3 linked regions of the Canis lupus familiaris genome follow. The protein of the gene in region 3 purifies or fractionates together with the protein of the main gene of each other region. This does not show direct contact. Links are inferred from orthologs where the notes say so. Each region holds a gene or a part of one and is shown on either strand. Other genes may lie near its edges.

What was found.
Region 1: the proteins of SLC6A15 (region 3) and KLHL36 purify together in Homo sapiens (co-immunoprecipitation; 3 studies listed by BioGRID and IntAct, counting the BioPlex papers as one, with this or other methods). This does not show direct contact. The link is inferred for Canis lupus familiaris from reciprocal best matches to the Homo sapiens genes SLC6A15 and KLHL36.
Region 2: the proteins of SLC6A15 (region 3) and GPAT3 purify together in Homo sapiens (co-immunoprecipitation; 3 studies listed by BioGRID and IntAct, counting the BioPlex papers as one, with this or other methods). This does not show direct contact. The link is inferred for Canis lupus familiaris from reciprocal best matches to the Homo sapiens genes SLC6A15 and GPAT3.

What each region holds. Positions count from the first base shown.
Region 1 is NC_049226.1:68,331,346-68,334,998, reverse strand, and holds part of KLHL36 (kelch-like protein 36), read left to right. Parts: intron 1-1,234; coding exon 1,235-1,392; intron 1,393-3,531; coding exon 3,532-3,653.
Region 2 is NC_049253.1:32,589,462-32,593,114, forward strand, and holds part of GPAT3 (glycerol-3-phosphate acyltransferase 3), read right to left. Parts: intron 2,222-3,653; coding exon 2,093-2,221; intron 1,361-2,092; coding exon 1,281-1,360; intron 1-1,280. UniProt on the Homo sapiens protein: Converts glycerol-3-phosphate to 1-acyl-sn-glycerol-3-phosphate (lysophosphatidic acid or LPA) by incorporating an acyl moiety at the sn-1 position of the glycerol backbone.
Region 3 is NC_049236.1:26,752,202-26,755,854, forward strand, and holds part of SLC6A15 (sodium-dependent neutral amino acid transporter B(0)AT2), read right to left. Parts: intron 3,017-3,653; coding exon 2,859-3,016; intron 2,500-2,858; coding exon 2,373-2,499; intron 831-2,372; coding exon 649-830; intron 1-648.

The sequences.
Region 1 (3,653 bases), on a different chromosome or scaffold from region 3:
AAATGTGGCCAGTGGCACTGAAATACTGAGTTCTCGATATTATTTCATCTTTACTAATTTATGTCCGAGTGTAAATGGCCACACGAGCTAATGGCTGCTGCTGGGTGGTGCCGGCCTAGAGATTTGATCCGGGTTAGACAGGGTTCAAACGCTGTTCCCCTGTCTCAGAGTCTCCCTGGAGCTCTCTTTTTTGGAAGGGTTTGGAGCTCGTTTACGGAGGTCACAAAGGCTCACACCTGGTGGTAGCTGTGGCCCTTTGGCAGGTGTGGCAAATTCTGGGAAGCGTGAGTCTTGGCGCCAGACCCGAGTCCACACCCGAGCTTGGCTAGGTTGGAGCTGGGGATTTCAGACTGCTTCCTTGCTCTCCAAGTTTTGGCTCCCGTCTCTAGAAACGGGGTGGGGAGGGTATTGACATTCTGAAGTGAGGGGATGTAGCTCATGGTGGTTGGCCGACACCTGGCATAGACAAGGTGGCTCTTTTCCTCACAAAAGCCTCCCCAGGCCACCACCCTAAAAAACCGGTCTGTCTTTATACTCACACCTCAGTGTTTTTACTTAACTTGATCAGGCTTTATTTTTTTGAGCACAAAACTCAGAATGGACTCCGATGACCTTTCTGTTTTATTCTCAAAAACTAAAAAGCGCCCTCAAAAGTGTAAGTCCCACCACTAGAAAGAGGCTCCCAGCTTTGGAGCTTTGTGGCTGTGGCAGCTAAAGGTATGGTCTCCTCCGGGACTGTGTTCATTTCTGTGTTCTGCCTGAATTATTTTTTAAAAACTGGGGGGGGGGGGGGGGGGAGTCTTCTGGTTTTTAGTTTCCCATTGATTGCTGTCCACACGATAGTGTTAATAGGGTCTGATGTGGGGAGGAGCGAAAGGAAGATGGATTTTTATTCCGGGAAACCACTAAACTGGCAATTCTGAACTGTACTGTGGAACTCGAGTCCACGAGGTCAGCCACATGGCCAGCCATGTGGCCAAACAAGTTAGGGGAACTATGTTCTCGATCCCCTTCTTGGGGACTTGCAACACCTCAAGGGTCTTGCAAGCTCTGAGAAGTCTCATCTCAAGAGCCCCTCTTTCTCTGAGTTTGACTTCCTTCTCCCAAACACACTTGGCCACTGCTTGACCTTCCTGGGCTGTGTGTTCCGGAGGATGCATTTGGGAACTCAGTGCTAGATGTTGATGTTGTCTGAGTATTGAGGAGGGAAGGTACAGGTGTCCCGCCTCCACAGGTGGCCTCCATGAACCAGCGCCGTGTGGATTTCTACCTGGCCTCCATTGAAGACATGCTGGTGGCCGTTGGTGGCCGGAATGAGAATGGAGCTCTTTCTTCGGTGGAGACTTACAGCCCCAAGACCGACTCCTGGTCCTATGTGGCCGGCTTGCCAAGGTGATTGGGGGTGGTTTGTCATGGACTCCTCAAATGTGATGACTTTGTTCACCTCATTTTCTAGATATTTTGGTCTCCAATTCCAGGGGGAAGAAAATCTCCTGGCTTGTAAATAACCATGGGTAGACCATGGGGGCAGAGGGCATGGTGATGACGAGTCAGGGCTCTGGTTTTAGACCATCCAGGCACAAGAGTCAGCTCTGCTGCTAAGGCAAATGTCCCCCAGTTTCTGAGCCTGTTTACTTCCAGAGTTTCAGGGAGAGAGTATTCAGCAGATAGTAAGGCTTTCCCTAGAAATGTCTCTGAGTGTGGGCCTGGGTTCAAGAGATGATGGATCTGTGAGCCGAGCCAGCATTTTCACTCTGCTCTCTTACTTCATCTGTATAGCAGACATGGTAACACTTGCCCTATAGGGCTGTCAGTGTGATATGTTCCTTAGGAGCACCCTCCCACCCACAGCACCCAACACCTGGGGAGTGCCCTGGTGCTCGGAGCTCCTCAGTCTCCCTGCATTGAGGTATGCACTTGGGACCACTGCTCATCATCCTGGATCTAGCAGAAGGTGCTTGCTGTTTATTTTGCTAGTCCCTCGATAGCTGAACCTGCAAGCACGCTTCGTGAACCAGTCTTATGGTGGAATGCAGGCAGCTGTCTTGCATGTGTCCCCAGGAGCTAGAAGGGCATGTGATGTAAGCATTAGATTGTGAATTCTGGTCCTGTTGCTACCCTCTTCGAGTAGAGGTTCCAGGAAGTGGATGGAGTAACATCTCTGACAATAGGCATAGTGGTTCCAAATGGCACGCACCATCCCTGGGCCAGGAGTGACGAGTCCCTTGAGGCTCACAGTGACCTGGTGGGGTGGAGGTAGGCTCCCATATAATTTGTCTCCCAAACCCGGATGGCAGTGAACAGGGAAGGTTGACAGTGTAAATACTGACCGTGTCATAGGCAGACCAAGACCTTTGATCTCCCTGGATTTAGTAGTGTTTTTTATCCTCCCATTTCGCAGATGGAGAAGGGAGCCTTAACGGTAGTGGTAAGAGTATCTGCTGCTCTTTCTCTGGGCCAGCTGGTGGGACTTCCATCCCTAAATACTCCTAACAACCCTGGTTTTATCTTTCTCAACGAGCCTGAGGTGTACAAGGTTGGAGTAAACATAGCCCGAAATGCTATGATCACCAGTGGGTGCATGAACCTGCAGCCTGACCTGAGAGCGGAGGCGCTACACGGTGCCTCCTGGCTCCCTGGGGCTGCCCTCCCAGACATTCCCCACCTGCAGCCACTGCCCACCTCCCCTGTGACCCGCTCTGCACTTAGGTTTTGTAATTTTCTTTTTTGTATTTATACAAACTGCACTTTTCAGAGAAAATTGAAAATCGAGCAGAAAGTATAAATTGTTCCTGTAGACCTTCTCAGAGCGTATTTCCCCCCATTGTTAACATCTCGAAGTAGCCACGCTATGTTTGTTACAACTGATGCACGCAAGTGGCCACGTTGCCCTAACGGAGGCCCAGGCTGAGGGCTCGCTGTCCGTGCTGTATGTTCTGTGGTTCGGGACAGATGTGTGGGGACGCTCATCCACCCTTCCTTACAGTGTCAGAGTAGTTCCACGGCCCTAAGAATCCCTTGTACTCCTCCTGTTCATCCCATCCTCACCACAGGCTCCGCCCACCCTGCACCCTTGAACATTTCACCATCCCTATAGTCTTTTCCAGAATGTGCACGGAGTTGGAATTGTACTTTGTTTCCTTCCCTTTGCTTTATAATTGGATCAGGTGCCTGTGTGTGCCTCAATCCCACAGTGTCCTTGTTTTCAGCTCTTATAGGAAGGATCAGCCCCACAGTCACTGCCACTCCCGAACTGGGGGAGAGTGGAGGTGGGGCTGGGCCCAGGCGGTGTGACTGCTGAGCTGCATACACGTTTACCGCACCCCCCACCCCAACCCCGACTCTGCCATTCTTACCAGCAACAGCTGCTGACCAGTGTGCATGTGGTCTCATCAGATCCCCCACAGCCCACAGCCTCCAAGATTGCAGGTTGTCTCCCTTTCACAGGGGAGAAGCACAAAGCCTCGGCGCCAGCCTGGCACGGCCTTGAGCTCCCTGTCTGTCTCTGTCTGTCCCGCCGTCTCCCCGCAGGTTCACCTACGGCCATGCAGGCACCATCTACAAAGACTTCGTGTACATCTCGGGAGGCCACGACTACCAGATTGGCCCCTACCGCAAGAACCTGCTATGCTACGACCACCGAACAGACGTGT
Region 2 (3,653 bases), on a different chromosome or scaffold from region 3:
AATTCATATATTAAAGCCCTAACCCCCAATATGATGGTATCTGGTGATGGGACCTTAGGAAGTAATTAGGTTTCGATGAGGTCATAAAGGTGGTCACTAATCCTCAAGGTAGAATTAGTGCCCCTAAAAGAAGAGACACCTGTGAGCCTGCTCTCTTCTCTCCCTCTCTCTCCATGCTCACACAAAGGCAAGAAGGTGGCCATTTGCCAGCCAAAAGGGATAGAGAGCTCTGACCAGAAACCGACCTTGCTGGTACCCTGATCTCAGACTTCCAGGCTTCAGAACCATGAGCGGATTTCCATTGTATAAGCCACCCAATCTATGGTAGTTTGTTATGGTAGCCCAAGCAGACTAAGACACTCCCCTACATTCCACCACCCTCAAACAAACAAAAAATTAAATCCAAAGTTTCCATCACTAAAATATCTCACTTATTTCCTTTTTTTTTTTTTTAAGTTTCCTTTAATATATTTACAGCTAGGGGCACCTGGGTGGCCCAGTGGTTGAGCATCTGCCTTCCAGCTCAGATGGTGATCCCAGGATTCTGGGATAGAGTCTTGCATCAGACCCCCTGCAGGGAGCCTGCTTCTCCCTGTGCCTTTGTCTCTGCCTCTCTCTGCTGTGTGTCTCTCATAAAAAAATAAATAAAATCTTATATATATATATATATATATATATATGCTAGCTGTAACTTATGTATATATACATATAGTTACAGCTAGCATAAAATATGAACAAGCCTATAAGTTGCCCCTTGCTCCTAGGCTCCATTCCCCACCACCAAATCTTTTCTCATTTTCTTCTTTAGTATCTGAGTTTTAGCTAGATATATGGCTATCCAGAGCAAAGACAGCATTCGCCAGCCTTCTGTGCAGCTGTTATCGTATAACTTGAGGTCTAGCTGGTGGGTAGACATGGAAGTGGCATGCCCAACTTCTACCTTGTGCTCACACACAAAGGTGTGTCCTTGTTTTAATTCTTTCCTGCTGGCCATTTTCTATAGGTGTGGAGCAGCACTGAAGCCACCATCCTGAACCCTCGAGTGGAAGCACACTGAGGATGGAAGCATATGGAATGACCTGTTATACCAGCCTTCACCACCCACGTTTAAGGAAGAGGGCTAAACTTCGACCAGATTTAAGCTGTTGTTATTCTATGTAAACCACTGTCGTTTTCAGCTACACCTCTGGTTGACTACCACAATCAATGACATTATTAAAATAGATTTTTTTCACTAAAAAAAAAAAAAAAAAAGATAGTACTTCTGCAAACTGCCTTACCAGGGAAGCTCAGTCAATCCTCCTTGCACAGCAATAGCAGACTTAACCCTGTTGGCAAACTGGACGGCATCTTCTCCTTCCTGGGGAAAAAGGAAATTACAAGTACTTCCTGAGAACAGAGCTTTCAAATAACTCTTAAAAGCTCTCAGAGTCAAAAAAAAAAAAAAAAAAAAAAAGCTCTCAGAGTCATTTAGATTTGCTTTAGAATGTAAGATTCGGGGCGCCTGGGTGACTCAGTCGGTTAAGCATCCAAATCTTGATTTCAGCTCAGGTCAAGATCTCAGGGCTTTGAGATTGAGCCATACGTGGGGCTCTGCACTGGGTGTGAAGCCTGCTTACGATTCTCTCTCCCTCTCCCTCTGCTCCCCACAACATGTGCATGCCTTCTTGCTCTTTCTGTCTCTCTCTTAAAAAAAGAAAATAAGATTCATATTTTAGCTCAGTTCTATTCTCAATCATAGCAAATATCATTTGTTCTATCAAGAAAATGAAGTGCTGTATTGTTTGATTTTGTATCTTGTGTATATATTTATGATCTTTATTAGTCTTATCCAACACATCACATTCCGTAATATCTGTAGATTCACTAAACCAACAGCAATATTAAAAACTATTATGGAAAAGAGTCCCTGAATATAAAATAGCCTGATTTTAAAAAGTTAAATACTATTTTTTAATGACTCATTTGCTAAGAAAGCAAGTCCAGCTCTAGCTAATGTGAAGAAGGAAGGCACCCAGGATTTCAGGTAAAAGTTTCCTTGCCTTGATCTGACTGGATAAAGCACCAAAGACTAGTTGTTATCTATGAATACCTCTCTGCTCATGGGGGGCATGTACCACACGTCACAGACGATTGCCCAGCTGGTCATCATTCGAAGCAGGTAGCTCACCATGTTGTATTTACTACTGTTCCAAAATGCATCCCCAAACTGAGGATTATACTGAGAAAAAGAAAAGAAAATACATCCCAGTTATGAACTAAGTGGTGGCTTCTTTTATCCATGTCAGTGTTTCCAAGGTGACAAGCTAAACATCTTTATCAGACCCCAAGAGAAAGAGAAACGACTTTGCTTGATAGAGATGAGTTAAAAATAAATAAATAAATAAAGTAAACCAGGCCCACTAACTTCTCTGACCTGAGTCCCAGAGTGCTATAGTTAGAGAGTTATCCACATGGGTCTTAAATATCTGTCTCCCTTGAAGGTGAGTGAAAGTAGTCACAGTAACTATTTTGCCTATTACTGTGTCCTTGGCACTTAATACAATGCCTGGCAGACAGTCCCCTGGTTCCTATCTGTAAACATATCCAGAGAGAGAGAATGATCAAGCAAATAGGGCAAAAATGTAAACAGTCGGTGAATCTGAGTAAAGAGTACACAAATGCCTTGAGGAAGATCCTATTACACAATAGGTCTCTTGAATATGTTGGTTGGCTAAATAACTTTAATATAATGACATCACAATTTTTCCACCAACTAACTGTGTGACTATAAGGCAAATTACATAACATCTCCAAGATTCAGTTTACAAACTGAGCAAGTTTAACTAAAGTTGTGGTTTCTAAACATTCTGGTTTAGCAACAAATTACAAATCATTTTCTTTAAGTCACATCTAATGCAGAATCCCAGTATGTAGAACAGATTTTAAAAAGGAAAAAAACATATGCCCTGATGCACTATTGGTACGGATATATATCAATACAGTTACTAGAGAAAATAGTATGAGAGAGTCTTCAAAAAAATAAAAAATGGAACTACCCTATGATCCAGTAATCCCGCTTTCAGGAATATACCCAATGGAAATGAAAACAAGATCTTAAATAGATAACTGTACCCTCAAGTTCATTGCAGCATATTATTCACAAGAGCCAAGATTTGGAAACAACCTAAGTGCCTCTCAACAGATGAACAGGCAAAAAGAGATGTGGTATATATTGAGAGTGGAATATTATTTAGCCGTGAGAAAGAAGGAATCCTAACACCTGTGACAACATAGATGGACCTTGAAAGCATTTTGCTAAGTAGCGTAAGTCAGACAGAGAAAGATAAGTACTAGATAGTACTACTTATACACAGAATCTAAAAAAAGCTGAACTGATAGAAACAGAGACTAGGATTATGGTTTCCAGGGGCTGAGGAGGAGAGAGGGCACAGTGGAGGAATTGGGGAGATGCTGGTCAAAGACTACAAACTTTCAGTTCTGAGATAAATAAGTTCTGGGGACCTAATGCACAGCATGGTGACTATAGATAGTAATACTGTATTATATACTTGAAAGCTGCTAAAAGAATAGATCTGAAATGTTCTCATCATAAAAATGAAATAGGAATTGTGTGATGTGATGGAGGTGTTTGCTAAAACTACAGTAGTAAT
Region 3 (3,653 bases):
GTAATATTCTCCTAGTTTCCAGGCTACCGCTCATGTTATCTTATTCCTACTTAACACACTCCAGGGATTTTTTCATACAGTTGAAATAAAGTGTGAATTCCTCGTGAATTCCTCTCTCTCACCTGCAAAGCCTCACATTAGAGTGGCCTCCCTGCCCACCCCACCACCTGTCCCCCAGCTGAGCTAACCCCCAGGCCCTTGCCAGCTGCCTCAGACCCAGCTCTACAGCCTCAGAACAGAGCAGGGCTGCACTCTCAAGTCTGAGTATGAGGCGCTCATCCCCTGATCTGTATGACTCACTGTCCTGTTATTTATGTCTCACCCTCATCTTTGGTGAACTAAGGGTCAAGGGAATGAACAGCAAAAATGAAGGTCTTTTAGGGAATGACACAAAATTTCAAAAAATGTCTTGGGTGAAACAAGGAAAGATTATAAGTGACTTTAGATTTCACTACAAAACACGTCCTTACTTATGTTCTTTCTTTAAACACACTTTCAAAAGCACTACTTTCCACCAATCTTTATTTAACTACCTAGAATGACACGATACTTGTAGTTTGCCCACAGACATTTATAGCAGAGCTTGAGGCGGGCATCACACGCAGGAGTGGTGAGGAGCAGAGTCAGGAGGGACTCTAACATACTAACTTTTCCAGAAGATTGAATGCCTTTGATCATAGCCAAGCAAACCACAACCCAGGCAGCCAGCAAGCAGACGGTCATCTTCCAGTTTAAGCCCCCACTTTCAGAAATGGAACTGGAAATATTCAGGGTTTCTCTGTACCAGTAATAGGTGGTGGCAGAACTTTTTTCACATTCTGGCTCTACAACTATGGAAAGAAATTCAGAGTAGGAAGAGTAATTAGGTTATTGTTCTGCTCCCAGTAAACCTGTAAATCAGTTCTTAATATTTCATAGAAAAGTACACTATTCTACAGAAGCATTTAAGTTCACCATGAAAACTCAACTGTGCAAAATTGTGAAAAATCCACAGACATGTATTCTTGTTGATATTTTTTATTACACATCGCTGAAATAGGAATATGTAAGCTTTTTATCAAAGTAGTTAAAACACATCAGGTTTATAGCCCCTTCAATGCCCAGAATTATCTGACTGACTTCCTGGGACAGAGCTGTCAAATATGCTAGCTGCTGGTCAGATGTGACTTTTGAAATAAAGCTAGTCTAAAGTGGCATGTACTATAAATACAAAATACCAGAAGATTTTAGAGACGTAGTGCAATTAAACAATGTAAATTAGGGCATTAATAATTTTTCTATTAATTATTTGTTGAAATGTTAATATTTTGGAAAAAATAGTTCACCTATTTCTTACTTGTTTCAGTGTGGCTAGTAGTAAATTTTAGACTACATATATGTGTTGCATTTGATGTTTACTGGACATCACTACTAGAGGGACTTGTCCTTTGTTTACGTTCTAGAATTTAAACATAAATGATTGAAAAACTAAACAAAACTAAACAGAACTAAAGATATAAAAACAATTACTTCAATCCTAATTCTTTTTGCCCTAATTTTTATGTTACTTTTATTTTTTTTCTCCTTTTTTTTTTAACATATTTTTTTTAATTTTTATTTATTTGTGATAGTCACAGAGAGAGAGAGAGAGAGGCAGAGACATAGGCAGAGGGAGAAGCAGGCTCCATGCACGGGGAGCCCGATGTGGGATTCGATCCCGGGTCTCCAGGATCACGCCCTGGGCCAAAGGCAGGCGCCAAACCACTGCGCCACCCAGGGATCCCATATTTTTTTTCTCCTTTATGACTACCTGTAGGTCCTTTTAAAAAAAATTTGTGTGACTGAAGTATAGTTGACATACAATGTTATTCATTTTGATGTACAATATAATGATTCTACAATTCTGTACATGACACAATGCTCACCACAATAGGTGTAGTTAGTTACCATGTGTCACCATATAATTATTACAGTATTATTGACCATCTTCCTTATGCTGTACTTTTCATCTCCATAACTTACTCGTTTTATAGCCGGAAGTTGTATTTTATTTATTTTAATCAAAATATTAGGCATCAAGAAAGGTGTACAAAATAAAAAATTGTCAAAGTTAACAACTGAAGGGTTGTAATATTTTACCATAATGTCGTGGGGCATGATAAAATAACTTGGGAAGAGCTAGTAAAATTAGATGGTGCCAAAGGTCTTTGCTTTAAGTATGCCAATCCTAAAAGTGAAGAAAGCTTGCTAGGATAATTTTGCAAGATTTTTCTACATTATTTTCAGAAAAGAAAAAAAATCTCAAAATATCATGCCCTTAGCAACTTTATGATCTTTATATACAAAAAAAAAAAAAAAACAAAAAACACTGTATGATATGATATATGTCTTACAAGTGTGTGAAGCATTTTTCACCAAAGGACATTGATCCCAAGGTAGAGGCTGCTGAAAAGATTGAGAAAAATAGAACAAACTCCAGCCAATGATGACATTGTAGTAGAGACCCACAAAAAAGCACACCTGCAAAACAAAATAGTGCGATTACATTATGCTTCCTATGCCCCTTCCTTTGAAATGAGATGAAATGCATAAAGGCCCATTTAACATGTTAAAAAATCCTCCCCATTTCATTTTTATTTGAAACACATTATCTTTTCTAAGAAGATGTCTCTCTTAGGTCTTAGGAACATGCATTATCAAGATTGAACTATATTAATATTTACAGCTTCGATAGTGTATTAGTGCAAACTAATCGTGTTTTTTTTAACACAGTTAAGAGTTGAATAGAAATACACACTCAAGGGTTTCATTTAAATGCAAACTATACAATAACAAACCCTGTAAAAATTATATAACATATACCATACCAGGAAACTTACTACACAACTTGCAAATCCAATGCCACCCAGTTTAGGGCTTATGTAATTCCACACACCAATGCTTCCTCGCCGGATTCTTTGACCCACAGCAAGTTCCAGGAAAAAAAGGGGAATACCTATTACCAGAAGCAGTATTAAATATGGCAAAAGATATGCACCTACAAAGACAAGAACAAATGAAATAGATCATATTTTCAAAAGTCACAGTAGAGAATACACTAATTTTGAATATCTCATAAAAGACAGTATTTGAACTTCTATTATAGTATAATTATAAAGGACTTGAAAGAATATGCAATTTCATCATTTTAAACCTTCTAGTATTTGAAACCTGGATTTGACAGCTACAAAGAGTTTCTGATAAAAAAAAAATAATTATTGTAAAAGTAAGAATGTAAAGTTTTAGTTTCATTTTATTGGAAGGGTAGATCTTCATTTTCCATAAAAATAATTGATTTCTCAAAGTTAATTATTTTCTCAAGTAGGCTTCACAAACTCCTGGAATTCTTATTCATATGATGCTCATGAAGTAATTTATTAAATCTCATTCAAACTCAACTAAACATGCATTCCAAATCAGTTTAATTAGAATGAATGAAATTTTATAGTATTAAAGCTGACTTTTTTCCCCTAAATAACAACAGGGAAGAAGAAATAGCAGCTTAGACTGAAAAGGAAAAAAAAAATAGGAAAAGAAAAAGAACTTTTACATCAGACAAATATCATTTTTTCTCATAAATACTTCATTTAAAAAGTATATTTCAGGAATTTTTGTTTCCCTTTTTTTTTAAGAGA